Xenopus tropicalis: one gene and its partners. The protein of the gene in region 2 interacts with the protein of the main gene of each other region in a biochemical or structural test. Links are inferred from orthologs where the notes say so. Each region holds a gene or a part of one and is shown on either strand. Other genes may lie near its edges. The genes, in order: ikbkg, nfkbia, skp1 and ikbkb.

Evidence for each region.
Region 1: of the proteins of nfkbia (region 2) and ikbkg, one has a biochemical effect on the other in vitro, tested with the Homo sapiens proteins (15 studies listed by BioGRID and IntAct). The link is inferred for Xenopus tropicalis from reciprocal best matches to the Homo sapiens genes NFKBIA and IKBKG.
Region 3: the proteins of nfkbia (region 2) and skp1 form a complex in vitro, tested with the Homo sapiens proteins (3 studies listed by BioGRID, with this or other methods). The link is inferred for Xenopus tropicalis from reciprocal best matches to the Homo sapiens genes NFKBIA and SKP1.
Region 4: of the proteins of nfkbia (region 2) and ikbkb, one has a biochemical effect on the other in vitro, tested with the Homo sapiens proteins (58 studies listed by BioGRID and IntAct, with this or other methods). The link is inferred for Xenopus tropicalis from reciprocal best matches to the Homo sapiens genes NFKBIA and IKBKB.

What each region holds. Positions count from the first base shown.
Region 1 is NC_030684.2:25,691,051-25,698,421, reverse strand, and holds part of ikbkg (NF-kappa-B essential modulator), read right to left. Parts: intron 6,187-7,371; coding exon 5,888-6,186; intron 4,913-5,887; coding exon 4,799-4,912; intron 4,557-4,798; coding exon 4,495-4,556; intron 4,414-4,494; coding exon 4,360-4,413; intron 3,868-4,359; coding exon 3,744-3,867; intron 3,163-3,743; coding exon 3,044-3,162; intron 2,443-3,043; coding exon 2,302-2,442; intron 1,075-2,301; coding exon 978-1,074; intron 76-977; coding exon 1-75. UniProt on the Homo sapiens protein: Regulatory subunit of the IKK core complex which phosphorylates inhibitors of NF-kappa-B thus leading to the dissociation of the inhibitor/NF-kappa-B complex and ultimately the degradation of the inhibitor.
Region 2 is NC_030684.2:109,509,980-109,518,145, forward strand, and holds nfkbia (NF-kappa-B inhibitor alpha), read right to left. Parts: upstream 4,716-8,166; 5' UTR 4,596-4,715; coding exon 4,360-4,595; intron 3,190-4,359; coding exon 3,081-3,189; intron 2,729-3,080; coding exon 2,521-2,728; intron 2,418-2,520; coding exon 2,329-2,417; intron 2,216-2,328; coding exon 1,955-2,215; intron 1,545-1,954; coding exon 1,500-1,544; 3' UTR 978-1,499; downstream 1-977. UniProt on the Homo sapiens protein: Inhibits the activity of dimeric NF-kappa-B/REL complexes by trapping REL (RELA/p65 and NFKB1/p50) dimers in the cytoplasm by masking their nuclear localization signals.
Region 3 is NC_030679.2:26,565,776-26,573,880, forward strand, and holds skp1 (S-phase kinase-associated protein 1), read left to right. Parts: upstream 1-3,111; 5' UTR 3,112-3,113; coding exon 3,114-3,210; intron 3,211-3,941; coding exon 3,942-4,015; intron 4,016-4,670; coding exon 4,671-4,814; intron 4,815-6,030; coding exon 6,031-6,171; intron 6,172-6,282; coding exon 6,283-6,318; 3' UTR 6,319-6,577; downstream 6,578-8,105. UniProt on the Homo sapiens protein: Essential component of the SCF (SKP1-CUL1-F-box protein) ubiquitin ligase complex, which mediates the ubiquitination of proteins involved in cell cycle progression, signal transduction and transcription.
Region 4 is NC_030679.2:130,602,372-130,609,742, reverse strand, and holds part of ikbkb (inhibitor of nuclear factor kappa-B kinase subunit beta), read right to left. Parts: intron 6,738-7,371; coding exon 6,630-6,737; intron 5,727-6,629; coding exon 5,597-5,726; intron 4,637-5,596; coding exon 4,442-4,636; intron 3,945-4,441; coding exon 3,830-3,944; intron 3,653-3,829; coding exon 3,529-3,652; intron 3,420-3,528; coding exon 3,268-3,419; intron 2,593-3,267; coding exon 2,531-2,592; intron 1,963-2,530; coding exon 1,853-1,962; intron 1,721-1,852; coding exon 1,671-1,720; intron 1,340-1,670; coding exon 1,240-1,339; intron 1,159-1,239; coding exon 1,011-1,158; intron 551-1,010; coding exon 420-550; intron 1-419.

The DNA of each region.
Region 1 (7,371 bases), about 84 Mb from region 2:
TGCTTGTTTGGCAACCAGAGCTTCCTCTGCCTCTTGCAGCTGCTGCTTCAGCTCCTGGATCTGCAGGTCCACCCCCTGCAGATAAAGGGCAACTGTCACTGATGCATCCAAACTATGGTGAATGCTTACAAGAATGTGATTCAGGCTACCATTTAGTATGTTATACAATGGCCTATTCTTAACTTTTCAATTGGCCGTCTTTTTTTTTTTTTTTAGTTTTTGAACAGTCTTCCTCTTCTGACTACTTCCAGCTTTCAAATAGGAAGGGGAGTCAATGACCCCAACAGCCAAACAATATTGCTCTGCAAAGCTATAATTGTCTTTTTTTTTTTACTTTTTATTTCTAATTAGGCCCTCCACTATTCATTAAACCACTGCCTGGTTGCTAGATTAAATTGGGCCCTAGCAACCAGACAGCTGCTGAAATTCCAGAGCTGCTGTACAAAAAGCTAAATAATTCAAACAATGCAAATAATAAAAAAAAGGCCAATTGCAAAACATCTCAGTATAGCACCCTTACATCATACTAAGTTAATTTTAAGGAGAACAACACCTTTAATTGTTCTGAGTTATTAACCATTGACTACAGTTAGTTATAATTCCCCTTTAAGATCTGCTGTTTTAATTTCCTTTGCATTCTTTACACCATGAGCTGCTGCTGGGCTCATAGGGGTTTTGTGACACATAGCAGAACTTTACTCAGTAACATTAAGTTACCTGGGGATTGGTTTACACATATAGCAGAAGCAGAGACCCATACAGCCCCCTACAGGTTCAATGAATATTGACTGCCTGAGGCTTCTTCCAGCAGAAATTTTCCATCTCTTGTGTACCTAAATATTTCCTTCTCCAGGCAAGAATCTGTCTATGGAGTATAACTAGTGGCAATGATGGTTATATGGTAGTATCTAAGTAATAACCTCTATTAACTTTTTCAGTCTATGCATGGTGCTAGCCAGGCCTGCAGTGCAACCTACCTTGGTGTGCTTGGCTTGCTGCATGCTGACCTTGATATGTGTGTCATATTCCTGGAAGAGCGTGTGATATGCAACCTGAAGCTGTGCCAGTTTCCTCCTGTTGGGAGAGTAAAGTTAGGAGGATGCCCACCCACCCAGGCAGCTGCTGAGCAGCCAAATGAAACAAACTAGGTTGGCCTCTAAGTTCCCAGCATGCTTATAATGGGGCCAGCTTATAACTAAACCAGCTCCTAGGCATAACTAGGCCAGCTTGTGATAGCAGTATCCTTTGAACCAGGCCAGGCAAAATCCTCTGTGCACCCATATCTAAGCCAGATTATGACTACTGAGCGCTTAGGAGGATCGCTCACTCGCAGGTACTCCAGTTCAGTGCAGTTTTCTGCTAAAAGCGCATCGGCCAGGCATATCAGGTAAGTGATTACAATCATTTTTGAAAGAAAAACAGCCCCCTATGAAGCAGTCTACAGTTGGCCTTAGAAGAGGGATAAATTCTTAAACCTGACTCAAACAGCAACTGGACCAATCCCCGTCTACTTTTAGTACTATACTTTTAGTATATTATAGAAAGGCCTATTCATTAGCCAAAAAACAACTACTCTGTGAGACTACAATTTTATTATTTTTTTACTTTTTATTACTTATCTTTCTATGTAGACCCTCTATCATATTCATGCCTTCCTTTCAAACCACTGCCTGGTTGCTAGGTTAAATTTGACCCTAGCAACCAGAAAGCGGCTGAACAAAAGGTGTTAATTCAAAAACTGCTAAATAAAAAATTAAGATCAAATGCAAATCGTTTGAGAATATCACTCTAAACGACAGGGGTCCCCAACCTTTCTTACTCGTGAGCGAAAGTCAAATGTAAAAAGATTGAGAGCAATACAAGCATCATAAAAGTTAATGGACATGCCAAAAAGGGCTAAGATTGGCTATTAGGTAGTCTCTATGCACACCCTGAGCTTATAGGAGGCTTTATTTGGTAGAAAGTCTTGTTTTTATTCAACCAAAACTTGCCACCTGGTTTGGGGGCACTCGGAGCAACATCCAGGGGGTTGGTGAGCAACATGTTGCTCACGAGCCACTGGTTGGGGATTATTGCACTACACCATACTAAATGTTAATTCAAAAGGTGAACAACCCCTTTAATATGTAGCGCTGCATTTTTTCACTTGCTAAAAAGGCAGCAACCCAGGCCAGGGTAGCTTAAGATCCCCAGTTAGTTGAACCCCTAATGACCCCCATGGGATCTTATAACCAGGACAGCTACTAACCCTCCATGCTAGCTGATAACCCTGAAGCAATAGCTAACAATCCTGACTCTTACTTCTCGTCTGTGGCATTTTGTCTTTCCATTTTTAACGCTGTTTCCAAATTCTGTACTTGCATCATTCGCTGATCAAGCTGCACAACCTGTTGCTTCACTTGGGCTTCCCAGCCCTTTTTCTCCTCCAGGGCACTACGGAGGCTGCAAAGAGAAATCAAACACTTGGCACACACAAGCTGTTTCCAAGAGTATAGACCAATCACATCTCCTATGGAGCAAACCATTCTCACATTATGCACCAGGGTAACCTGCACAGCACTGCTAAATTTAAAGGGACAGTGACACCTTTTTCTGGTTACAGTGCCTTCTCAGCATGAGACAGAAATGGCACCATAGAGAGGGCCAACCAAGAGGCATGAATGGTCAGTGCCACAGGGTTGAATCAAGTCCGGCTCAAGTACGCATGAGCAACAGTTTAACGGATAAGTAAACCTTTTAAATAAGTTGATGTAAATTTGATGAGAATGCTATTCTAAGCACTAAAACTACTTCATGTTTGGAAAGTGACCAGCAGGTGGTGCTGTTTAAAAACTGCATTCATATTAACAGTACTTTTAACCCTCAATATATTGGGAAAAAAATAACATGTAAATTACAAAATTCATCTCATCATTTTTACATCAACTAATTTTAAAAGTTTTACTTATACTTTCAAAAGACATTGCCCTAGATTTTTTGACCCATCCTCTTCTCCTGGGTGACCAACGCAGGCATCCATCACTGTTTCCCATGGGGTACTAACCTGTCCTCTACCTTTCTCTTTTCCTGCAGGCAGATCTCCAGACTTGTCTGACTCTCTTTCAGCTCCCCCAATAGAGAGGTCACCTGGGCTTTTACTGAATTCCTCTCCTCAGACAGTTGCTGCAAGATCAAAACCAAGATATTGTTAATTCTGCTTAATATGACATTTACCTATAACATAATTATATCAATCCTAATACTGTATATAGAGCAGAGGATCTGATACTGATGTTTATGAGGCTGGGGGGCAAAAAATACCTTGGAAACTTGCAGCTGGCCCATGGAATGCCAGCTGGACAACCATATATAAAAACAAATTATTTTTTTTCATCATTCTGGCTGCAGATCATGTCCCTAAACCAGTGTTTCTTATTCTTTTTCTCAGGGGACCCAAATTAGGTTCAAACAAAAATAAATTAATCATTTACAGTTGTAATAGTTTCATCGTAACATCTTTGAAACAGTATAACCCATTATATTATTCTCACATGGTACCTGTACATATATCATGACTGTAATACCACCAGGCCCAGACTGGGGTTCAAAATAGGCCCTGGAATTTAAAGTACACAGAGACCCAAACAGCCCCCCCAGGCCCAATAAATAGTGAATGTCTATGGCATCTTACAGCAGCCCCTCTGGCATTTGCCTGAATCCACAGATTGCCTGTTTAGGCCTGAATAACACTGTAGAATTCTCACCTCCATCTGCAGTTGCAAACTTTGCAGTTGCTTTTGAGATTCCTCTCCTTTTTCAACCACCTGGCGCCTAAGCTTAGATACTTCCTCTTGTAGATCTGCAATCTGACGCAGAAACTGAGTATTCCTGCATTGGGAAGATATATTTACAGTGCAGCCTGTGAGCAAACCAGTGTACGATGTCCCTTATATTATACATGGAAAAAGGCGCTTGCGAGGGGATATGATTACTCTGTACAAGTACATTAGAGGGGATTACAGGCAGATAGGTAATGTTCTTTTTCCCATAAAAACCATCAGTGCACCAGAGGCACAGTAGGTGGTTTTTCATGCTGAGGGCAGTGAGGTTGGGGAATGCCCTTCCTACAGATGTGGTAATGGCAGATTCTGTTAATGCTTTTAAGAGGGGCCTGGATGAGTTCTTGGACAAGCATAGTACCCAAGGCTATTGTGATACTAATATCTACAGTTAGTATTTATGTTGGTATATATGGTTTATGTATGCGAGTATAAAGACAGGTCAGTATGGGTTTGTGTGTTGCTGGGTTTACTTAGAAGGGTTGAACTTGATGGACCCTGGTCTTTTTTCAACCCTATGTAACTACATGTAGCTACCCACCTGGCTTCAGCGTCCTGCAGTTTCTTCTGGAATTCCTGCTCAGTTCTAGAGTTCCTGGAATAAACACACAATTTATAAACTGCTTTGCCAGTTCATACACATAGCAACTTGTTACATTTTTTACGTCAGGCTCACCGGTCCACAGTTCCTTGCATGATTTCATTTTCCATACAAACTTCCTTGTTGCCATTTTCTTTCTGTAGAAAGTGAAAGAGAATAATGATAAACCATGGGACCAGGTCTCTGGAAAGTTGTTAAACAATGATGGGGCTCTTATAAAAAAAAAATGTGTTTTCATGATTTTAACTGCAGGACACCAATTAAATCAAAGTACAACAGGCCTCTACTTGTCAACCAATCAGGACCATCACCTTAATCCCTGTACTTGAACAAATGCAGGGCGGGAAAATAGAAGTGATCAGAGGTCTGTGTATCTCACCTGCTTGTTTCGGGATGGCCCCTCTTCATCTGGCACAGTCTGCCTGATTGTTTCACAGATACTGTGGGTCAGTGTTTCACATGAGGACAAAGAGCTCCCTGGGGTGGCGTAATCCTAACGACAGACACAGCGGAGCAGTCACACAGGGGCCAAGCCGAGGAGTCAGGCAGAGCAAACTTTCTAACTGGGCAGAGTATGTGATGAGCCTAGCTGTCTCGGATGGATCCAAATGCAAAGGGAGAAATCCTATAGATCGGGGTCCCCAACTTTTTTCACCAGTGAGCAACATTCTAATGTTACAAAAGCTGGAGAGCAACACATGCAAGCAAAAAGTTCCAGGGGTACCAAACATGGGTTGTGATTGTCTAGTGGTATCCCCTATGCAAACTGGCAGCCTACAGGAGGCTCTGTTTGGCGGTTTTGTTGCTTGTGAGCCACTGGTTGGGAAATCACTGCTATAGAAAGTAACAAGAGAATGCCCAATAGATAAAAAGGGTGTGGGGGGGGGGGGGGTGGTTGGTGCCTGATGACTAAAGTCTCTTCCTTTCTACCCCAGGCCAGTGCTCCACTTCTTAAAAAAAAAAAAAAAAAAAAAAAAAAACACACTAGCCCAGGGAACTTTCCATCAGAGTACTGTTATGCAATCTTCCTTCACTCTCCCAGTGCATTATGAGTCTAGCTGGCATGAGAATCTATGGGTCTAGCAGGACAAGGTAATGCAGCGGTGTAACTAGAAATTTCTGAGTATTTCTCTCTGTGGCAACTTTATGTTGCTAGGGAAACTTCTAACCCCCGGGCGGGGGCAGCTGTGCACATAGAAAAGGCCAACCCTATATTGCACCATAAAAGATTTTAATGTGCAACCCAGGCCATCGGCAGGGTAGCCAGGAAGTTACTGGCCAGTCTACTGCCTGCCTTCAGCGGCTGCTATACTGTAGCTTGATCCTCCTCCATACATTCTGCCACTTTAGCCCTAGATCGAAGCTTCAGGAAAAAGTATAATAAATGGTGTATGGGTTTCAGTGTACTCCATAGAAATGTAAGAGTTAGATTAATAGATATTCAGTTACCAGTGAGAGCAGTAAGTACCTGTTCCTCATACGCTTTCCTTGGGGATCTTCGGTCAGTCAGAATGGTATCCTCCAGCCGCCCCTGCTCATTCTCTGTGCTCCCTCGACTCTTCTCTTCTCTCACCTCTGCCAGCTGCTTCATGGCTTCCTCCAGCTGCGCCTGCAGGGAGTTTCGCTCATTGGTAAGCCTCAGCACCAGGTCCCGCGCCTCACCAAACTTGTATGTGATGAACTCTCTCTCCTTTCTCTGCGAATCCTGAAACTCCAGCATGTCGCCATGTCCTTTGCGTAACATCATGTTGCTCTGTTCTAGAGCAGCTGTCGTGAAGGCGGGGGGACAAATGATAAAGAAATTCACTTAAAGGGGTTGTTCACCTTTAAAATTAACTTTAAACATGATGTAGACGTTGATATTCTGAGGCAATTTGCAATTGGTTTTTCCTTTTTTTGTTGTTTGTGGTTTTCCAGTTATTTAGCTTTTTGTTCTGCAGCTCTCGAGTTTGACAATTCAGCAGCTATCTGGTTGCTATGGTCTTGTTTACCTTAGCAACCAGGCAGTGGTTTTAATGAGAGAACCAGCCATTTAAGGCACATAAGAACTATGATTACTTACTTACCCTAGCAGTGACAACATAAAGGGACAGTAGTGCCAATAATTTAATTCTGTATGCATTTAAATGCATGATACAGTTACCTTACCTTCCATTGGTAACAACTGTGTGTTTGCATCATATAGGCCACTGCTGTCCAGTTTATTACATGTAGTGGGTCAGTCATATCTCCTACAGCATGTTGGGGGGAGGGGGCAGGTTAAATTAAAATGATGATGTCATTAAGTAGTGCCTGTGGGGCCATAAAAATCCTTTGGAGAGTTACATCTAGCCTGTGATCCTCAAGTTGAACAGCACTGATATAGATTATACAGATAAATATACCCCTAAGTGTATTGGCCTATCATGCTGTGTAAAAAGTGGAGTGAAGCATTACCGGTGATGTTGCCCAGGGCAACCATTAAGCAATTAGATTTTAACAGTAGCAAAGCATCTGATTGGCTGCTATGAGCAACATCACCTGTAATGTCTTACTCTACTTTTTACACAACATGATAAATATACCCCTTAGCCACGAGGGCTGCCATTCAAGTTCTAGTAGGGCTTTAACAACCACATTTGCATAGAGCCTTGTTCCCTAACTTCAGGCCCCCTGATCCTGCTGGGCTACCCCCCCCAGCATTAGAGCTTGGCATATATCAGTGCTATATACATATAGAATACTATTACTACTTATCTTTTCTCATGTTTGAAGGGGTTGTTCCCCTTAAAATAAACATGTAGTATGAAGTAGAGCTTGATATTCTGAGACAATTCACAATTGGTCTTCACTTTTTCCCTGCAGTTTTTGAATTATTTAGCTTTTTGTTCAGCAGCTCTGCAGTGTGGAATTTCAACAGCAATCTAGTTGCTATGGTTCAAATAACCTTAGCAACCAGGCAGGCATCTTACA
Region 2 (8,166 bases):
ATAAACGTTCACCTAAATCTCTCAAGTGACCTTCAATCTGGTCTTTTAGGGTGTGTGTAGAAGATCAATAGCTATCCAAGTCTTACCCTAATTGGCCTTTAGGCTGGGTTCCCTGCAGCCAAGGATTGGGTCAGCCTATAGAAGCCAGCCCTACAATTTGGGAACCATTGCCAAAGGCTATTTAAAGATATTGAGATGTCATCCCAAGAACCACTGGCCCTGTAGACTTTAGGAACCTGTTACCAGATAGTATTGCTTGAGGTTCCATCCCTTATGTTTTTTGAATAACACAGGATACACAGAGGAGTGCCATTAAGACCCACACAGAGCATTCAAGACTTATGTTTCTGGAATACTGTCTCCAAATGCTTTTGGCCTTGATAATATATAGGATTATCCAGGATTATACTGAAGTTTATCCAGCAACATTAAGGTGAGACAACTCTTTCTACGCTAAAAGAGATTCCCTTCCAAATATCATATAGAATAGTGATTCCCAAACTTGGGGCTGGCACCCTTAAGTGGGCTTGAAGCAGCGGTAGGGTAAGGCCAGGTATAATTGGGGGAATGCCTATTTGATTCTTAGATACACCTGAAAGGTTAAAGGTCAAGTTGGTTGAGATTAGGAGAGAGTTTTTAGATCTTATGTGCTTGATATTTTTGGAACAATGAATTAAAAATACCAGTGTTTTTCAATAGCTTTAACCTTGGAAGTAGCTAAGGCAGCCCTGACCAATGCAAAGACCTCCAAAGGGTGGGGGTGGGGTGCTACATCTTAAAAAAGGCCTAGAAAGTACTGCAACTCCTACAGGCAGGAGGTTGCACATTTATAAGAGGTAAAGTGGGCCTTGCTCAGTAGATCTTATTTTTATTCCACAAGATTTTACTTTGAGCCTATTATCCTAGTAAAGATATCAAGTTTTCTGTTCTTTGAGTCTTGGATGGGAGCAGGAAAAAAAAATAATCTGCAGAGTAGATTTGGAAACAATTATTTATTTATTTTTTTTCTTTTCTTTTTTTTATATAAAATATAAACTTTGCATATAAAAATAATCTCTGTACTTTATTTACACTATATACAGTGTGTAGTTTATTTTAACAATCTGCTCTCTGGCTATAATTAGTCAGGTCCTCAACACAGTGTATTTATGAGCCATTTATTTCATGTTGGCATTGAAGGGCATTGTCAGTATCATGGTATTGGTCGCCCTGCCTCACAATGATGTTAATGACAGATTAGAGTTCCTTCTGCAGCATCCTCTCTTTATCTGCTCAAGGAATAAGCTCTTTAATTCATAGCTGTGGTCTTGATGCGGCAGGATATGTAACACAGGAAGCTTCTCGTGTAGAACATCGGTCACCATGGAACAGCACAAGCACCTCCACGCCTCAACTTTCAGAGGATCCTTTTCTACCCCGAAGTCACTGGCTCCAGTGCTGTCCTCTAGTAATGAGAGTCTGTCCTTATAGTTTCTTTTTTTTAGTTCACACACAGCAGTCTAATGCAGCGGCCTCCCCCCTATGATGCAGTCGTCATACATAAGCTGTTAGACAAAAGAGAGAAAGAAAACTATTTAGAGCCAAAAATTGTTATACATAAACCTTATTAAGCGACAACTTTATTGCAAGAGAGTTACATGTTGGACCAAAACATAACTCAGGGGTTGCTACTGAACCCACTTTTTTCTAACTTAAAAGGAAGAAGATGATCACTAATCTAAAAATGGATGGGTTTATGGTTTTATCAGTCTCCGTAGCCCCTGCCAAATCTCATCCCTGCCTCACCCTAAATGCTTTATTTTATTTTAGCTGCCCAAACTGCTAGGGCCTGCACAACCCAACAGATTATTAAAAATTCTTTAACATTAGGCTAATTATTACATGTGCTTGAAACTGGTTTAACTGCCATTCATTCCCATGCCATTACTATGATGAACTCGTCTCTAGGTCTCACCTCATCATCATTATATTCATATTCGGAGTCAGAACTGTCTTCCTCTTCACTCTCTGGAAGGTACTGCAAATTCTTGTGTGTCACTTCAACCAGCTGTTGTTGAATCAGCATGTTATTTCTGCCCCATGTGAGCTGGCACGGAGAGTAGCCTTGGTACGTGACTCTGTTTACATCTGCTCCGTGCTTAAGCAGCAGTTTCATCAGGTCGTAGTTCTGCAGGTCCACGGCCATATGCAGCACAGTGCGACCATTGCAAGGCTCCTGTGGTGAGGGAAACAGAAATTTCTCTTAGATCTAGAGGCAAAATTGAATCCAATAGACATGGCAGGAAGAAACATCAGTATGTAGCCAAGTGAAGTAGGGGGAATACTGACCTGGGCATTTATATCAGCCCCCTTATTAATGAGATTTTCCACAATTGCAAGATAGCCATGGATCGATGCCAGGTGGAGGCACGTGTGACCTGCATCGGAAAGAAAGATATTAGCAAGGCAGTTCTAATTCTAATTTGCCAAGTAGCACAACAACACACGTCTAAAGGTTTATAGATTAAGTTTGATACATACCATCATAGTTCACAGATTGCAGAAGTGCTGGCAGTTGTTTCTCACAATACTGGAAAATGACCCCAACTCCCCGAAGCGAGCCCTGCTTGCAGGCAATGTGCAAGGCGGTGTTGCCACAGAAGTCTTGGATTTCTGGATCACAACCAGCCTGGAGAAGTGACTGGCTGATGTCTTGTTGTTCGGTGATTACTGCCAGATGTAGTGCTGTCTGCAGAAAAGACATTAAAAAAAAAAAGAAAAATCAGTAAATTCATTCTCATTAAACACAAAATTGAACTTGCAGAATAAGCTTGTACTATATTCTATCCCTCATGAACATGCTATGAGTGCACTGACTATTAATATTTTAAGTGCTGGCCAACTTACATGTCATAGGTCAATTATTCCACAAACTGGCCCTCTATTATACTTTATATGTTAAAATTCCTTTGGAGGGCCACATCCGGCCCACGGGCCTCCAGTTGGACAGCCCTGCCCTAACCGACAATGGTGGCACATGACAAGCTAATCTAGAAATAAAGTTTTTACAAGGTTTAGAAAAAAAATAAAAAGTAAATTACCTGGTGCAGATTATTCTGCTTGTTCAGGTAAAAATGGTCCCTGTATGAACGTTGGATTGCCTCCTTCACCAGGGTTTTCTCTTCATGGATAATTGCCAAATGGAGAAACCTAGAAGGGAACATAAAAAGGACATGTTAAAATAGAGAAGCAAATTTGTGTCATTTAACCATAAAAAAAGAAAAGATGAACTAGCAGGTTTATGGGAAATGACAAACTAGCTTTCCAATCTTAGCATCTTATTACAAAATGTCATTTCTGTATTTACTATTTCATCATTCAGAAGTAGAAAATGTACCCCCCCCTCCCCTTTGGGAACCAGTAAGTGAAGTGGTGTTAAGGTTCAGTGTGTGGGAAAGATCGAGGTGAATAAAACTTCATAAATTTAGAAACTGCCAAGCAATAGGAAATAATAATTCATAATGAACCTATTTCATCATAGCGGCATGTCGGTGAGCTGCAATACTAGTCAGTGGTGACACAAGTGTGTACTTCCCCCTCCCCCAGCCAACTATGCAATTGTGTAAGTCTGGGGATTTTTTCTTCTCTAGATCTGTCTGTTGTTTTCCGCTTTCTGCTGTGAGTGTGAGAGTGTGTGTGTGTGCAGTTGTGTTCCTGGCTACTGGCCAGGGACTTTCCAAAGCCAGAGTCCTGCCCCTGGGTGCCTGCCAGCCCCCACCCCTCTGAGGCAGCAAGTCAGAGAACAAGGTGTCCTCCCACCCCCCCTCCCTCCAGCTCACACGAAGAAGGGAAAACCCAGACAGATATGGCGTCTCTTCTGCACCAACAAAAAAATTCCCCTACCAAGAACAAACATGCACCAAGCCATCTAACAGCTGCCCGGCGTTGCTGCATGCTTGCAAATACCAATGCATGATATAAAAAAAGCATTAAAAGCACAAGGGTTTTTAACTATTTGCACAACTTACTAATACTGCATGTTTATGGTTGCATGAAAAAGCTGCACAATAAATTGCAGTGTTATGCAGTGTAGCCTGCCCCATGCACCTAACTGTGCATTCACCATAAAGAAGTCATGCATTAGTAAATATCTACATATCCTACACTAAACACTGCCCCAAACCTAGGTGTCCCTGTTATATATATATATATATTAGTGCAGCACTATAGAGTACTATCCCTTTATCAGTATATACACTGTGCAAGGCAGATGTAATGGTTTTAGATGTACTAATACTAAGGTTCATCGCCCCTATACAATATCAGTAGATACTGAGCACAATCCCCAGCCATATAACGAACCCATTCTCTATCACTTACGTGTCTCCATCTTCGTTGACCTCTTTCTTCCATGGCTCCGGCTCATAGTTCGATGTGTCCGGCGGGCCCTCCATTCTCATGTTGCTGAGGTCAGTAATGATAGCCGTGTATTCCTCCTCCTTCAGGGAGTCCAGGCCGCTATCAATGCGATCGTCCTGCAGCAGTTTGTCCTTCCGGAGATCCCTAGCTTCTCCCTCCATCATATTCCCTTGGTAATCGTGAAAAGGCACAGACATGGCGGCGGCCGGTTGTTGAGCTTCCCCGCAAAATAGCTTAGAAGACACTGTAGAATCCCAGTTGCGATAGTGAAGTTCTGTAGCTGTAGCCTCCTCTATACTAATCCCATCCGATCAGAGCGACTTCTGGTAGCGATCTGGCAGCTCCCTCCCCCAGCAGGCTACTTTTACATATACAGCCGGGGTTTTTTCTGGGTGGAGCCGAGCTCAGTTTCCTACTTGTGAACTATTATGTACTCTGGGAAATTCCAAGAATAAGTCAGTATAGGAACACAATGAACCTGACGGAGCCAGTTCTGTGGTACAATAAAAGGAAGAGCGCAGAAATATGTACAAGGCTCAGAAATTCCCTTTTTTCAGACGTGCGCAGCTACTCCATGTACATTCCTCTCAGCACACTCACCATTCCTGGGACACACTGGGGGGATTCGGGCAAAAATACACATTAGTTCCCCACATCATACTCGGCATTTATATGCGTTAAATATACCTTCGTCTGACAGACTATTGATATTATGCTAAATACATAAGAGCTCAACGTCCGGGGAGCCATTTGCATTTTGCACCTTAACCCACACACACAACCGACTTGCACCTAATGATTGATGCTAATGCCATTTTGTTTTATTTCAGCAACTTCCAGAAACGAGGGGTTTACAAACAATGCAACTTTCGCGCAATGTTCCCCAAAAGGCTGCAAAAATTGCGTCATAAGCAGCAAGATTACACTGGGATTCTGGGGAATAACGTTGCATTGTGGGTGAAACATGGAATTTTGCACTCTTTTGTGCATTGTAGTAAGGCTTTCCCACTGGAAAGAAATACAGGTCTTCCTAAATTTTCATCTCTCTACCCAGTTAACATTGGGATATTGCAGTATTTTAACTGGTCAGGCCAGTATAATAACCTCCAGGTGGCAATCCTAATTGCAGTTTGCATTTGCTTTAAAAAAAACATAAGCCCCTTTGTGCATTATTGTTGGGATGAAATGAGATTGTATGAATTTAATAGTTATTATTTTTATAACGATAATAGTTTCAGGTACCTTGCTTAGGTGAAATAACTTAATTGCCATTTGCCGAAGGTTATCTGTCCGTAATTCTTGTGTGGGAATAAAAGTAGTAAACCAAAAACATCATGGAATACTTTGACTATACTATTGTGCGCTCTGCACTAGTGATGTGCCCAGGCCCGGGCCTAGGGCGGCATAAACATAGGGGCGGCATGCTGCCCCGCCGCACGCAAATTTCAAAATTTTGCTCCCATACGGAGCAATGGGGACCTCTCCCCACTGCTCTGTATGGGAGTTTTAACTTTGGCGCATGCGCATTAGCGCGGCGGCAGGGGAGGAGGAGGTGGTTTGCGCATGCGCGCTCGCACGGCGGGTAGGGGGCGCCAAATGGGGGCGGCCTCGGGGCGCGTCATTTAGAAATCCGGTGCTGGATGTGCCCCCCTGACACAAGGGGCATATATATTATAGTGTGTAAGCCAAAATCAGCTGTGATGTTGCATATAGCATTTAATAAGCAATTAGATTTTAATGGTCACCTACAAGTTAAGGTGGCCATACACGTTACAGTTATCAACCTTCCTGCGACCATTGGCAAAAACAATAAGAATTCTACCCCTATTTGACGATTCAGCCCTTAACGTATGCTTATGCTCAGGCGCTTCAACAGTGCCCGATCAAAATATTTTACCCTGCCCGATTGGCAAGACGACCAATATCCAAGGTTTTTTGTGATATTGGTCACTTCGTCGATCCACTATACATACACCGAATATCGAATGTTGGCTTACACAGTATAATAAATATACCCTTAAGAGAGTAGGTGCAGCATCCCTTAGGCCACATTGGGGCGGCATTTGGTGCCAAAACTCCCCTAAATACTGCAAACCCCATGACCAAGAAGGAGTTTTGTGTCCCTTATTGCTCTTGTACTTGCATCCAGGGCTGTGATGAACCCTATAATCTTTCTGGTGGCTTTTGGTGTTGGGCTATATAGTGGTATAGATTCTGCTGTAGTGCCCACTTACTTATAGTCATACATATCTGTCCATATTAAAATATTGTAAACAAAATCTGTAGTAACATATTAACAGCTTAGTGCACCCTATACAGTACTGAAATTTGGCATCAGACTTTGGGTTTGGGTGCTTGGATTGTTTTGCCTTTGTTATGCAAAACACAGAATGTCTTTGTTATATTACTGCCCAGTGACTGGGATTTCCCCATGATTAGGATTTGGTATGCAGATATAACGTTCCTTAAAGCTCATTAAACCTCACTTTCAATCAGGGACTTTAGATAAAGCTGCTTAGGGAATTTGCAGGTGGAGGACAGATTCTAGGACTAACCGACAGATCCTTCTATCTTAATAAACATGCCAGTTCCAGTACGGCTGGCAAAGCCTAATAGAAGCTGTAGTTCTCCTCTGCTGCTTTTGGTAATGCCATGTATGACTCTGTGCAGTGTAAAAGTACCTCTGATGTTCCCCCTAAAGAACTTAACTTTCCTCCAGCAAATGTACTTAATGGGGCATAACATCGGAAAGTGAAATTATGTGATTCACAGATTGCAGCACGTTAATAGGACACGGGGATTTTACTGAAGTTTGGCCACTTTAAAAAAATCCCAGCAGTAATTTGGCAACACGTTGGGTTTAACAGGAGATCCCCTGATATCTAATTCTTCTTCAAAGGTCCCTGCTGGGCACATTTGAAACTGCAGGATAGATTGCAGTATTGCAGATAGATAAGTATTGATTTTTTTAAGTGCCAAATAACAAGTTATAATAAACCACCCCCTTCAAGGGTCTTAGTGGTTTCATTTGTAATAGAATACATTATTTACACCTCAATTAGATCAGTGGCAGATTTCCAAATCTATCACAATATGGTGACTAGTCACACAGTTTGTTTTATTATTTCAACAGTGCAAGATGCACTAATGAAAGCTAACTGCTTATTGGTTGCTATGGGTTACTGCACTGATGCTTTGGCAATCTATTATCCCAATCAAAACAGTACAGTTCTCAATCTTTATCTGATTTGGACTTCTTCATGACAGTCAATCCTTTCCAATACTTCCCATGGAAGTAAGTAGTTACAGTAATAGCATCAACCTGCAAGTGGGCATATGGGATACATTTCATTCACAGAAAGTATGATTTTCTGCCCAAAATACACCTTGTGTGCGCGCTGACAAGCAGTTGGATAGTCATGGATGGATTGTATTTAACCCATTCAGTGCTGTCAGAATGTCACATTTCATTTGCACTTAGTGCCATATTTTTGTGCTCTCTCCACCAAGTTCAAACTTACCTATACTGACCTATCTATACACTCACATACATAAACCATATATACCAACAGCAATACCAACTGCAATATCCCTTTCCATCTCTATTTTAGCTTGCCTGATTTTTTGCATGCTTTATTTGCTTCCTTGTACCTGATGCAAGTTTCCGCTGTCCCAGCTAATTTGAATGCTTTAAAAGCATGTTTTTTTATTACCAACCTTCACCACTAACACTTTTATGCAACCATAAAGGTTTGGCATTGTGATTCC
Region 3 (8,105 bases), on a different chromosome or scaffold from region 2:
TATATTACAAGGTAAGTTGCCAGTAGATGTACATGTGCTTTCCAGCCCTGTAGTTATTATATAGGAGCGTGTATATGCCGGGCGGCCATAGTTTTCGGCGGCGTCATTTCTAGGCCGCAAAGGCTGCTGTGTGAAGGCCCTGTCTGTGTTGTGTTGGAGGCCGCGTTGTGCGGCATATTCAAGTTCCTACATTACCCCGGCCCTTACCGGCTACCGTCCATTTCTTCTTTACTCACAGGTTTCCTATTAGCATCTCCCTCTATTTCTCGCTGTTGTTTATCCCCGGGTTCCAGACCCCCCCCTCCCCCTTCATTTGGAAATTACGACCAGGAACTCCGGAGGGCAGAGGGTTACTTTGCGGGAAACTAGAACTATAGTTTTCCTTTGTTGTTTTTTTTTTAAAAGATATTATCCATTTTACTGTGATTTTCTAATTTGTAGTTTATAGGCTATTAAACTTTGCAGATATCCCTCATCAGTCTCAAACAAGCGCTTTCTGCTTTCAACAACTTTAAAAAATGTGTGCGGGCTCATTAGCTTTCCTGTTGAGTGTTACTTGGCTACAGCACAGGGGCTCGCTTTTAATTGGTGGGGGGATGTCAGCTGACCGCTGCAGGGATACCCATGCTCATGGGATGAAATCATTACATTTACCTGCAGTGCATAATGGTTTCACCCATCATGTTGTCCTTGGGATTCCATCCTGAACTACTGTATTGAAAATCACTTACCCCCCCTTAATGACTGGCACAGAATACAGGTATCAGGAGTCATGCCTATCAACTTAACTGGGGCCAAGATGGCCCCAAGAGTGTGGTTTCTGATGTCTGCATTCCCTTGCAGGTGATTGGTAGCTTCCTTTGTAGCAAAAACTGCAGTTCCTGTAAAATAATTGGTTATATATAATAATTGATGATTTCCTTTAGTCTTCTAGTCAAAACATACAGACCCTAGGCAGTGAAATCTAAAGTTGCCCAATCATTTGCTTGTGCAGCTACCTTTGATCATGACACAGCTGGAGGAAAACATGCCGGTCACTGCTTGAGCTATGAGCTTTTGTGGTGACATGCAGGTTTCAGACCAAAGATATTGATATTCTCAATATATAGAGAGATACAGAGAGAGAGAGAGATACAGAGAGAGAGAGAGATACAGAGAGAGAGAGAGATACAGAGAGAGAGAGAGATAGATATAGGTATAGATATAGGACATTAAGACATTCTGTGCATTAAGCTACTAAGAAATGACCTCCCCTTTTAGCAATATACTGAAAGCTGGCCAACTATGCCAAATTTAATTCCCGTACTGACTTTTATATTATTTATTAAGTATTTTACTGCTTCATTATACATTAGTACGCAGGGACTGATTTTTACCTGCAGTTTACTTCCTTTTAGTGCAAAAAAATTGTTGCACTTTTTATTGGCCACCATTGAGATCAACAGACTGTAGCTGGGAATGGTGAAGGCTACAATATGTAGAGTGCCTGAAAAAGTATATGAAAAACTTTTCAGTCAACTATTGTCTTAACACCTGCTGACCCAGCCCATCCATACCCAAACAAAATTAGATATATATTCGGCAGGGTTGAAAATCCTACATGGCAAAGACTGCATTGTCACTTTGATGCCATTCTCGTCTGACAAGTCCATGTAGGCTGGACCCACTCCTTATAAACCATTATATTTGTTATAATAAATTAAACAGTATATTTGTTTACCTGGGCACAGTGGACTCTCACATGGAACTTGTAGGGGATCAGTCACCGTTTTGAAATATCCACTATTATAGAGCAAAAGGAAATTGGTCAAACAATAATAAAATGGCATTTCCAAAAGCTTTCTTGATAATGAGTCTCCTTAATCTAGATCCCATACCTGTAAGATTAAAAATGTGCTTAACTACACAATTAAGATTTCAAGTACACTCTGTCCCCTCTAAGATATTTAATAACCAGTCCTCTTTTTAACAGAATATGGTAATTCCTATTGCCTTGTGCTGTTAGTCACTCTGCTCTGTATGTTGCTGTCTAGGCCAAACTTCTGTTATTTTAATTCATAAAGCCTTTGTTTAAAATGAGGCTGAGTGAAAAGCATGGCTCAGGGATAGCAAATGTCCTCTCTGTAATTGGCTGTATGTCAACTATTGATGTACAGATTCTTTTTCTGGGCAGGATGGGCAAATGGCCTCTAATGCAGATTTGGAGCTTGGCAATTGCCATTATCCTGGCTGCTATTGGCAAAGTCATACTGCAGCAGTAAAATGACACCCTTTGTTGGTAATTACTTTGTTCTGCTTCCATAGTTATACCTGCTCAGTAAGTCTTTCCCACATCATATATGCCAGAGACACTTTCCCTTTGTGTACTGCGTGCACACTAATGGTGGCCAGTGTTAACAAGGGTTCATCCATCTCCAGCTGTCCAGCCATTTGCAGTCGGCTGTTAAAGGAGCAGTGCCAGGTTGACAGCTGTTAGAATTTAGTGCATTTTCCCAATTCCTGCACAGCTCTCTGAAAATTGCAGAGTACCGGTAATTGCACATTCCGGATGAGACCCAAAGCTTTTAGCTCCTTATTCTCTTCCTGGTAGTGGAGGGCAGGGTGCTGGCAACAGTTGGCAGGCCCCTTCTTATTCCTACTAGCTGCAGCTTCTTCCCTTTGCTCATTAGGCCGTGCCAGACCACTGTATATTGCACAGTTGGTGTGGGTCTTGGGCAGAGACTGAAGCAACCAGGCACCAGGGCTGTTGTATAGATGATTATTTTTATTGGCCCTGCCTTACTGACAACCAGGGCATGAAACATGATGTTTGCATTTCATTAAAGCAGAAGGAAAGGTATAGTCACTGGGGGGGTGGTTGCCATGTTAGCCACTCTGTGATTCTACTTGCCTACAATGGCCTGCAGTGCACTTGCTGTGCTTGCTGCCATTTTGTTCCCATGTCTCTCCTGCTCACCATGCTTAAATGTGCTTCAGTGCAGCATCTTGAGTTTCACAGCTGCCTTCCTGATCATCTCTCATTGAAAGTACCAATTGATTTTCTTTCTGTTTTGCTTGCAGTAACTTCACTAAGCAGTACTGTTTGTGTTGATTAATGTGTTTTTGTTTTTCAGATGCCTTCTATAAAGCTGCAGAGTTCTGATGGAGAGATTTTTGAAGTGGATGTTGAAATTGCAAAGCAGTCAGTAACAATTAAAACTATGTTGGAAGGTACTTTTTAAAAAAAAATTCTTTGAATATGTATTCTTTATAATTTTGTCCTCTGGTGTGCAGGTCTTCATTTGTTTTTATTCTCCTAGCTTTGAAAGTGTTGGTGTAAAGGCACATTGGGCAATTGAGTGGATTCTCTCCAAAAGCAATCCCTTTACAGAAACAATATTGCTGGGAATTTTTCTTCTATGTAGCATTTGCATGACCTTTGAGTGCACCTGGGTGAACAGACATTTGCAATTGAAATGTCAGGGGTAATTCCAATCATTTTGTCATCCACTTTCAAATTGGGAAATTTCTTGGGTTTGTGGAGGATTATCTTTTTAGGTAGTAGCTCCTTTTACACTGATAAGAGACAGGTACACAGGGTACTTTAGAAAACATTGTTTGTACAATCCAGGATTTGGAAATGATGGAATAAGGGCTTTTTATTAAAAAAAAAAAAAGTTTTGGTGCTGTTCACTACATAACAGGTACACAGCGTTTCAAACTACTCATAACAGCAGTGATCCCAATATAACAAATAAGTAGCAGTCTTGCTGAAAAAAAATTGTCCTCAGAGGAACTGGTTGTAATATTTCTGTTGTGTTTAAATTTATTTTGTGTAAATTCTTGAGAAATCTCTTATTTGACTATAGTTTTAGAACATTGCCTTTCTGTCTAAATTATCTTGGGTTTTTTTTTACATTTTTTTGGCAAGACACAGTTATCAATTAAATGTTTTTAAACAGATCTGGGTATGGATGATGAAGGTGATGATGACCCTGTGCCACTTCCCAATGTTAATGCTGCAATCCTTAAAAAAGTAAGTGCTATTTAGGTAGTGGTTTTACGTATACCCATACTAGAATACTGGATGCAGATTAGAGATTGTTTTTTTTTTTTTTAGAGGTGTTGGTTTGCTGCAGGGATATAATGCAATGTAATTAGGACAAAAAAATTGTACCAGATTCAGAATTGTGTTAATTAAAAAGTTGCAACAGCCTCCCCCCCCCCTACACACACACACACACACACATTATTTATATTTGCTTATCACTGCCAGAAGAAGAACTACTTATAAATGCCAGGGTTTTAAGGCATATTGGCAAGTAAAAAAATAAAACTGAACTATTGGTTATTAGGAACTTCATCCTGCTGTTTGGGGTTTCATATTCTTGAGTTATGATGTATACTGTTTCAGACCTAGAAACACTTGCTCTCTAATTCAGGCAGTAGAGGACATTGCTCCTATTTTTGGTTTAGCTCTTCAAGTGTAGGTTGTTACAAGATTTACTTTTTTTTTTTTTTTTTTTTTTACTAGCTTGAATTATATTAACATATAAACAACAAAATGATGAAATTGAACATATCTTAAGTTTAGCAGTACCACATTGTCTTGGATTCAGGACCTGGCCAACAAATGCAGTCAGTTGTATAAATCATAAAGATAAATACCTATGTACTTTTATTTTCATCAGGTCATTCAGTGGTGTACACATCATAAAGATGATCCCCCTCCACCCGAAGACGATGAAAACAAAGAGAAGAGAACAGATGATATCCCTGTGTGGGACCAAGAGTTTTTAAAAGTGGATCAGGGAACACTATTTGAACTGATTTTGGTGAGGCATGCTCACCAAAAAACCCAACAGCTTTTATAGAACCCATTAGAATTACATAAGTGTATTTCTAGTACTTGTACTTAGTAGTATTAATAACCTTAAAGGGAACCTGCAACTTAAAGTACCACACAGTCTGAAGGTATTGCACACACAACACAGCCTGAAGGTAGTGCACACACAACACAGCCAGTAATTATTTGTGTTTTTGTCCGAAAGAGGTAGGAGAGTTGATATTTAAAAACCTTGCCATTAACATGTTCCAACAAAGTGTGCTTGTTCTCCTGCACTTGAGAGGTAAGGGTGAGCCCACATATATGAAACGTTGTGCATAATTTTGTCCTTAGTGGCTTCAATAAAGGCATCCACATGGCATCTGCATGTTGCTTCTGAGCAATATAGTTTTAACACACATAATTTTATTCATACATTAAAACGTGGCTGCCATTTTACTTGTTAACACATAACACAACAGTTACTAGAAATTTATACACTAATTCATAAAAGATTTTTAAAAATTTACATACACATGTCCATATATTCCTCAGTCAGCATAGATTTAACTTCCAAACTGAAAATGGCTGAAACTATTTTTTTTTTTTTCATCTCAATCCTATATACATAAATTACACTTGCATATTCATATGTAGTGCTTATACGCCACTTAAAGCACGTATGATAACTTTTCCTCATAAAATACCCTTCATTAATTTAGAGCGAGTCCAAAAAGAGCTACTATTTCATTAATATCCATTTAAGGATTTGAGACCAATACTGCACTGCATATTCTAGATGGGGCCTTTGCCAGTGTTTTCTAAAGTGGGAATATGTACTTCCCCTCTGAGTCTGTATACCTTGCTGGCTCTTCCTTCCGCTGACTGGCATTGCTTGCTAAAGCTAAGTTTATTTTCCACAAGTCACCCCAGCTCCTTGCATATTTTGGAATGCCACTTAGCAGGCCAGTCTCCCAGTTTGTCCAGTTCCTCCTAAAGGATGCTACATTCTTGGTGGCACTGATTGAGCTGCATAACTTTTGTGTCATTGTCATAAACATATATTGCTTCTAAGCCAATTCATAAGCTTTTCTGCAGTCTATTGGTACCATATCAAATACAAGGGAGTGTGAGCAAATCAGGGGTGGGTTTGAGTTCTTGCTGGTCAAAAAAAAATTGGGGGCTGGTTTGATTTTGCTTTTTTTTTTTTTTTTTTTTATCTTCAGGCTGCCAACTATTTGGATATCAAAGGATTGCTTGATGTCACCTGCAAGACAGTTGCAAACATGATTAAAGGAAAAACGCCAGAAGAAATTCGAAAGACCTTCAACATCAAAAACGACTTTACTGAGGAGGAAGAAGCTCAGGTATATATTTATACGCTTAAGTTTATTTCCTTTTACAAGTGTGTCAGCCAATATCTCCACTCCAACAAGAGTATTTATTAATGAACCTCTTTTATGCTATTTTCCTTTTAGGTACGCAAAGAGAATCAGTGGTGTGAAGAAAAGTGAAGTTGCATACCTGTTACCACTGTAACACTGTACAAGTCGTTCCAAATCAACTAGTTGCACTGCTCTGTTTATACTAGACAATTCAGCAGCTTAAATTAGCAGGAGGATGTTTTGCTGCATGTGTTGTGTCTGACATTTTTTTTTTTTTTTCTTATTGAGTAATTCAGATCTTCAAGCCGTGTTTTAACCATTGTAATCTTGTGTGATATTTCCTTTAAAACAATAATAAACCTGTTAGCTGCGTGCTTTGAAGATGAAAGATGGCATCACAGTAGTCTACTCCTGTTCTTGCAGAACTGTGTTTTGACAGAACTTTACATTTCCTAGATTTTGGCTTCTCTGACAAGGCAACTTCAGCAGCAAATCACAATGTGTGCTGTTTTGTGTGTATGGCAAAATAATCTGCCTGGAACATGTATGTGACAGACTCTTCTCTGTTTAGTGTAATTGGCCACTCAGGCAGTTATGAGGTTGTGAATTTTTGTTTTTATATAAAGTTCACCTTCTATGCATACAGACACTGATTTCATACTTTAACGAACGTGTCTCAAGTTCATGTGCGAGTATTTATCTTGTGTGGTGTCCCAGCTCTGAATGTCACAGGGAGACTTTAGTGGTTTACCTTTCCCTCTAAAAGCTTAGAGAGGTAGCATGATTTACATTTCCTTAGTGCAATAGATGCTCAAGCATAGTTTTGAGACAATTCCTTGGTTGCTTTTCTGTGCAAGAGAAGACTGTAGCACTGCTAAACATTTACTGCAACAAAGAGCTAAATAGGTTAGTGCAAGAGCCCATTTGTTAAGTCATATTTCTTTTTCTGTTCTCTCACATCCTTAATAGGAGCGGAAAGGTATAATTATTGGGAAGTGCAAAAATGTTATTTACTCCCCCCCCCCCCCCCCCCCCCCCCCCCATTGATTATAATTGCTTACGTGAGACTCCAGGCCAGTGTTTCTGGTTGCTGGAAACTGCACCATCCCAGTGTAATAGGCTAGAAGTTGACATGGTGCTCCTACAAAAGTACCCAGGGTCTCAGATAAGGCACCCCCAGTAATTATACCTTTCCTTCTCCTTATGTGCTTCATTCCTGGTTTCATATTTGGTGTTCCTTGCGAAATCTGTAAGGAAAAGAAGGTTTGGACTTTCCTAATAAACTGACTTTAAAAGGTTTTTTGGTTCACTGCATTGTCATTAAATGAAATTTCATTTTCAGTTGCAGTATCATTTGTTCATTTGTTTGATACATTCATGTGTAAAGGGCATTTGTTGCATTATTCCAACCTCAGATTTATGTAAAAAACAACTTTCACTGACTATCACTCAGTGCAGAATGAATGAAGTCTGTTTTAAAAGTAAGTTTGGGTAAAAAAAAAAAAAGACAAATATTTAAATAGTTGTTGACATTAAGTTACTTAGTTTTTTTGGTAAGCTTAAACTTTTTCTAGCTTGTAGCTGATTCAAAAGAAGGCTGAAAAGGCTTTTGCCTATATGCTGCCTCAGCTGATGTCCTTGTTTTTCCTCCCTCAGACAGACCAGTCTTTCAAACCATAGGGAAAAAAACCCTATAAACTTAAAGCTAATTATTTACATTGACTTGCCTCTGCATTGCATGAAGGGAATATGATTTCTTATCTGACTGGGTATATTGTACCATTCTAAACTTTGGTTTCCACGGGCAAATACACCCCTATCAGCTCTTTACTTTTTCTAACTTATGTGGCCAAATTTAATTTGCTGATTGGTTACTATGTCTCCATTGTTAATAAATATGCCTCTGAGTTTGCGAG
Region 4 (7,371 bases), on a different chromosome or scaffold from region 2:
GTGATAGTCTCCCTTTAAAATGTCCTTCTTCTCAGAACACAAGAACAGCATCAATCTCCACAGGATACAAATTGAATTTTACTAAAATATATTAAACCCAAGCATATAAATTCTAATAAAGACCAATCATATTTCCTGATTTAAATTATTCTTTACTGTGTAAAATTATTCCAGTTTTTCCTTACTTCTTACCATATTGAATTGGATAGCTATGTTACCAAAGTTGTTAACAAGTTATTTAAAAAAAAATTGTTTATGTATAAAGAGATTATAAAAAAAAAGTCCTTCCACTGTTCCATTATGTATGTGATTATTTTTTTAATTCCATCTTGTTTCTTTTCTCCTATATATCCCATTCATCCTCACTTCAGTTTACCTCGTCCTACCATCTCTTCTGTATACCCAAGGGCTGCACTTACCTTTTCTTCACATACTCTTGGGCTAGACTGGCAGAGAGGGCAGGAGGCTGGGAAAGCAGTTGGCTTGGGCCAGGCATTCGAGATGTGCCCAAGCTATCTGGGCTACCACTCACAGGGCCACGGACTTTGCTCTGTGGGGATCAGTAACACAGAGGATGTATAAATAACAGTTTGTGCACCACAGAGCCTAATTCCTATTTAATTCTGGTAAGAGCTCAAAGGCACACAGTCATGAAAACAGTGGGTTTCAGACTGGATCACTGACGGCTATAATCTGATGACGAAGCTTGTCTATAACAAGATAATCAACACAATAAACAATTATGTAGCACACAGAGGATCCGATTCATAAACATAGGTGCTAATTGCACCAGAGCAGTTACCCATAGCATCAAATTAGCAATTAGTCTTCTGCAAGTTAGCCTACAAAACCAAAGATTGGTTGTTCTGTGTAACTGCAACACAGATTTGTTTTAATTGTATTTGGCCAGGGAATGTCTATTCTAACACTACTCCATTACCCAATGTGTGAGCATAAGGTTCCCGTGGTCTTGTAATATATATATATATACATACACACACACTGCTTACACAAGCAATCTTTAGCAGGTTCCACAGCTCCTGCTGTCTCTTCTCTTGCCTCTTTACCACCATTTTTTCATCTTCTCTCATTAGGTTCATCACCTCTTTCACCTTTGGGGATAGTTCTAGGGCTTTGTGCTTGCACGCCACAGTCTTACTGCAGGCAGATGGGAAAGGAGTCAGTAAAGCCGGCATGAAATCATGGAGATGAGAAGGATAAAAGGGAGCTGCCACAGACCTGAGTTGGTCATATATAAGGATGACTCTCTTCTCGAAGCTCTGGATGGCTTGAATTAGGAGGCGCACCATTTCATTGCTGTCTCCTGCTGTCCTTTGATCTACAGGTAAAAAAAATACATTGGTGCTGGGTTCCTAGAAATAAATTTACGTTTACGTTTAGAGCAAGTCAGATCTTCTCGGTAAGTCCAATATCCTTACTACATGTCACATGGAGTTGAGCATGTTGAAACTACACTTCCTGAGTAACTAGCAGGTAGCCTAAATACCATGATAAATTAACAGAGTCAGGTTTCTGGTGCTAAACCGCAAGAAGGGTTATCTAGCCCATCGTATTCCCGTCATATTTAGTAATACAGACTCTTTGGCCCTAGAGCCAAATACAACTAGTAAGGGGATTATTTACCCATATTTGCAACAATAACTGCTTACCTCTAGGTCTCTCCCGTAACCGCCGATATAAATCTTTAGCCTGTTCTTCTCTGGCAATAAAAGTAGAAAACAATGTTTTATTTAGACCGTCATAGAGAACAGCCAACCCCCAACACAATTTACAGAACACTTCATATGATGACATGAAAGTACAATGGCTGAACAGTTTCCACCTCACTCACAGGTCATCCAGTGTCCCTCGGTGTTTCCTGCCTAATGGATTTCTCTGCAGATCTACACTGTCTGTTTGTAAAGCCATCATTTTATCCACAAGAGCCTGCACTTCCCTCTCCTACAAAAGAACAAAAATGTAAAGAACTTAAAACAAAGGAAAATCCAACACACAGTGGTTGAAAAGGTAGGTAACCTTGTTTCGCAGCAATGAGCAATTGATTTCTGGGCTTCTCTCTTGCCTTATGATCTGGCAGGGGGTAAAAGTTGGGGTCTGACATTAAGAGCTGACTGGGGTTTACTACTACACTGATCTCCAGGAAGCTCAATAAGAACTCTCTTTAGGTTCCAAAGCTAAAGCCCTCCTTTACCCCATAAAGATCAATGCAATGGGATATACTGCATTTTGGGAAAAGAGCAGCCCATAACCAAACAACCTGGATACATTTAAACAATGCAGACTGCGGATATTTGGGTGCATTTGTAATTAGACCAAATTTGTAATTACAATACACAAGCCCAAACCGCAAATGGTTGCTATGGGGGAAAAAAGCAGTGCACTGGTTTTGCCCACGGTGCCCCTTTAAGTAATGGAGCCCGAGACCCTAGGGTACATATATTCACATAGCACGTTTAATTTATGGAGTGGGCTTTCGAGTATCATTATCCCATTTCATCTCATTCCTTACCCTGCCGCACAGTTCCACTGTTTGCTCCGTCTCTCTCCAGGCTGACAGGAGCTTTTCAGAAGCTGCGAGAAAGAAACATTGTTCATATCATTAACAGGTAATGTAAAGGTGAACGGCTCCTTTAATAGATATCATTGATGATAAGGTGATGTGTGTGAAGTAGGAACCCATATAAAGGCTCAAAATACAAGGGCTAGACCCTGGCCTACTAAGTCTCATCCTGCAGACTGTATGGCTAAAAGCAACAGTAATAAAGAGAAATTTGCTCTTTTATGAATATGCTATTTCACAATAGTAACACTGCATGGTGCAGATTTTGCCCTGTTCACATTTCACAAGTTCAATATATAAAAACTGGCATTTCTAGACATATTCATTTTTAGGGTTTAGTTCTCCTTTAAATCTGCATATAACAGAACGGGTACCTTCCGTATCCTAAGCAGAGCTTTAATTTTATCTTAATGCTGTAAACTAAGAGGCCATAGTTTGATATGCACAGATCATTCCTCTGTGTAAAACTGTATTTATACAGAAGACTGGAAGCTCCCATACTGCTTGCTGTTAATACAGAAAGCCATTTATGATGACTATGAATGCTGTTTAGTGGTTGTCTAAAGAAAAAAAAAAAAAGCTGTGCATAATAACAGTGTGTCAGAGGTTACAGCAAAGTCAATAAATCACTATAGTTCTCTTTACTAAGCAATAAAAGTCGACAGAGGGCCCAGCCAGTAACTTACTGATTCCAAACTCCATCTGTTCACTGTATTTTTCTAGATCAATCTGGATACTGTTCCGGAAGAAATCCAGTTTGGCCTTTAGCTGCTCAAACTCAGAAGTCATGAGGTTCTTCTTTTTGGAAAGTTCAGTATTGTATCGCAGCAGGTTTACCCTACATAACATAGAGATATGCCCTCAGCACTTATGCATAATACATGGAGAAACACACATCTGCCACACATACTGTCTGTCCCACCCACACGCAGAGCTCTCATACTCACATAAAGGTACGCTGCCCATGAAGCAGACGGGCACAATCCTCTTTCATCGCTCGTATTGTCTGCCAGGTCTGCCCCCACACGCGGCGAAGGTGGGTGTAAGTGAGGGGCCGCTTGGGATCCTGCACTGGAATAGAATTAAGTGCCACAGTGTCACATCACCATCAACAAACCACAAACCTCAGGATTAGACAGATGTATAAACCCTGAAGGCATAGGCAAACGTCTGAGTCCTCAGGCAAGAGGAATATACATATACATGTATATCCCTTGCCATTACAAGCCAAATATCAGTGGCACTCACATATAACGGTGACACTCTCGGGATGTGCCGGCAGTGATATCTGGGGCTCATATACAGTCTTCCGGTTATCAAATAGAAATATCAGATCACCCTCGCCCTGGCGCCCATCATTGACCTGTAGACAAAAGCAAATAAGACACTTATTGATTAAAATAATTCCAGTTTATAGACAACAAAGATATTGGCCTATGACCCTCAAGCAGTTACAACTCCCACCAGCAGCCAGCATCTTATATGGCAAGGTCAGATCTAGAATGCAAGAACAACTGCAGGTGGAATGAACTAGAACAGTTGAGGGTTTTACTACACTTGCTGTACTGAAAGTAATATGAATATTTGAATCTGTATATTGCACTTAAGAGCTGTAATTAAGCAGTGAAACATATGCCTATATGGTCACTCTCTGAAGTCAAAAAGACAATGGTTTTCCTTTCATTAACAGTTCCACCAGATACTGTGACCTGCAAAGAAAGGCTGCTTACAGAAATATAATTTAAAGTTGCATTTTAAGTTGAACCACACTAGCCTTGTGTCACATGACACAAAACATTTTTTTTGCCATATTTGTGCTTTCATAATGTCATTTTGCGGTGAGCATGAGAAGACTCTTACCGTGCAGTCTACCACAAACTGGGTTAGAGGCTGGGCAGGATTAAGGGCCAATCCTGATGCCTGCAATAGTTCCTGCTCTTCCTCAGGAATCCCTGTGTCTTGCTCCAGGCGACTCTTCAGATTCTGCAGGTTTTCATTCTCTGACACCGGGTAAGTGTGCACCTTGCCAGACACCATGTTCAGTACAGACAACAGCTGGGGGGATATATACACATGTACATCAATATATCAGCAATAACATATATGTTTATAAAAACCTGTGATATATATCCTTATAAGTAGTGCTTAGTGAGGTTATCATATATAAATCACCCATAGCCCATTGAAACGTGTATTAAAAAATAAGCAATCCCCTGCTTCAACATTTAGGAACATTAGAAACCACCTTACATGGTCTGTGGTCCTTATATCTTAAGAGAGGGTGTTGTATAAACATATATGCAGGTCTATCCTGTTGGTTCTGGTGCTTTTCTTGAAACTTTGGGGCAGTTCTCTCATCCAGAGTATCTGCCTTCACCTTTTTTGCTGTTTATTGCTGGGTGGTACGTATAGGTTTGATTTTTGTTTTGATATTGTGTACATATCTTATGAATGTTGAATTATTGTTATACAATAATTTTATATAAAGCTTTTCAACTGCAATACCACCTTTGTATGGCTCTTTTTAGTGTGCAACATCTTTATGTGGTTTATATCAATGCCATTTAATTTACCAGACATCTGGTGGATCCTTCACACATTGGGAACTTGCAGGGGACAGAGTAACTTAATTGTATTCATTTAGACCTTGGCCTACCCACTGTATGTAATTGACACTGGAAAGACTGCTTGGGAGGTGTAAAGGCTATGAAGATAGAAGCTGGACCTAACCACTACTAGTCCTGTGAAGTGATGCCTTTACCCCAGGGGTGATTCCTGTGTCTCTGGAATGTATTCAGAGAAAGTACACCCTTATCTTTAACTGATATATGAAAGTAGAGAATGATAAAAAATAAAACCATATATAGAATGACAAGGCTAAAACAGAAAACAAGAAACAGAAGAAAGGACATGACAGCAGACATATTGATTTCCCACCAAAAAATTACAGATTCTGTGTTGTGTTCTTTACTGTAAATGTTGCTTGTACACCCAAAGCTTCATACCGACACTTACCTTAAGGCTTAGGATGGAATCCAAGGCCTGGAAACAACCAACATTAGGGTTCTGTGGATCTGTGCCTCTCTGTCTCTGGTGCCACATTAGCATGCATTGTAGCCAGTGTTCCAACTTGCCAGCCAGCTTGCTAAAACAAAAGAAATATTTAATTCCAATTTATTGCATGTGCAAGTAGCGAACATCTTGAGCTAGACAGCCTGCCACAAACTTGAAACATGGACTAATATGGTCTGACAGTTGTAAGGCTCTGGGATTCATCATAGAGCTAAATTGAAAACCAGTATTTTTGACACCCAATCAAGCCAATGATCATATCACACGGTGAGTCACTCAGACTCATTAAGGTATTGATTAGGCAAACTACAGTCATCTTGCAACCAAGAGCCTCATTGCCATGGATGTTGTCCACAGAATATTCAACTGTGTCAAAATGATATCTGCCCACATTTATGTATCAAACAGTATGTATGGGTATTGTTTTGGGCTCTAACACAAGCCAATGGGCTGGCTCAACTGGGCACTTTAAGACTAGAACAAAACTAAGCTAAACTATAAACATCCAATGAGAATTTTGGTACCTGTTCAGTATGAAACCAAATGAGACTGATTTATCTAGACATGATCAAAAGAAAGTGGTAGACAATTGGCACCCTACAGTAGCAATACATGGCACCGTGACACAGGTATAAACTGAATACTGCTGACAACATGGCTCAACATTTGCCATGGTTTATGTTTTTACATACTCTGAACAAGATAAAAGGTTGGATTGGTTCCCCTCTGCCCTCTCTCTCTCCATCTTTGCACTTTCCTGTTCTCTTTTGCTTTTACATGTATTAAAAGAAGGCTTATGTAATATCTAAAATAGTTACAAAACATCATATTTTCTGATTGTTTGTTTTTAACATAACTTAAAGGGAGCAAAAGAGAAGAAAAAAAAACATAAAGTGTACAGGCAATGGCAGTATTTAGGTAGAAGTGCCTCAATACTGTGTGTATGTGATCAACCCTGGAGGCAAGGACATCGTACCTGTTCAGATGATTGGGTGTTGGTAAGACACTGGAGAACTTTACTGCTCCCATCAGGTCCTCGTATACCACAATGTGCTCATTGCTTTTCTCTCGCACTTTTCCATGCCTAGAGTCCAAAGGAACATACAGGTCACTATTACTTGGAAATACTGTAATTTGGATTACCGTGCCTTAAAGCTACTTGAATCATTTAAACAGGATTAAATAGATTGTAAGCTTAAATTGTAAGCTCTATGGGGCAGGGACATCTTTCCTACTGTGTCTAACACCACACGGCACTTTGTCTCTGTGTATTTATACTTATTTGTTGTACAATTTATAACACTTGTCCTCCCGGTGTGTAATTGTGTATATTGTAAGATTGTACTGCGCTGCGTATCCTTGTAGTGCTTTATAAATAAAGTTATACATAAATACAAATGGGATTATTTTGCCACTAACATCCAGTTTAGTTACCATCAAGTACAATGTACTGTTTTGAAATTACAGATATAATGGAAATCAGTCAAATTACAAGAATTGTTTGCCAAGATAGGACTCTACAAGAAATGGCATTGCTGTATTTTTGGAGCTTTCTGGAGAATGAGTTTCTGAATAACAGACCCCATAGTTGTATCGAAAAAGTAAAAATGTGATCAGAATAATACTAAACAGAATTAGAAAATAAAACTATGATTTAAGGTAAGCAGCATCGCTTAATAGGACTGCTGACTATCACTCTAGAGCAGTTTAATTTTTCC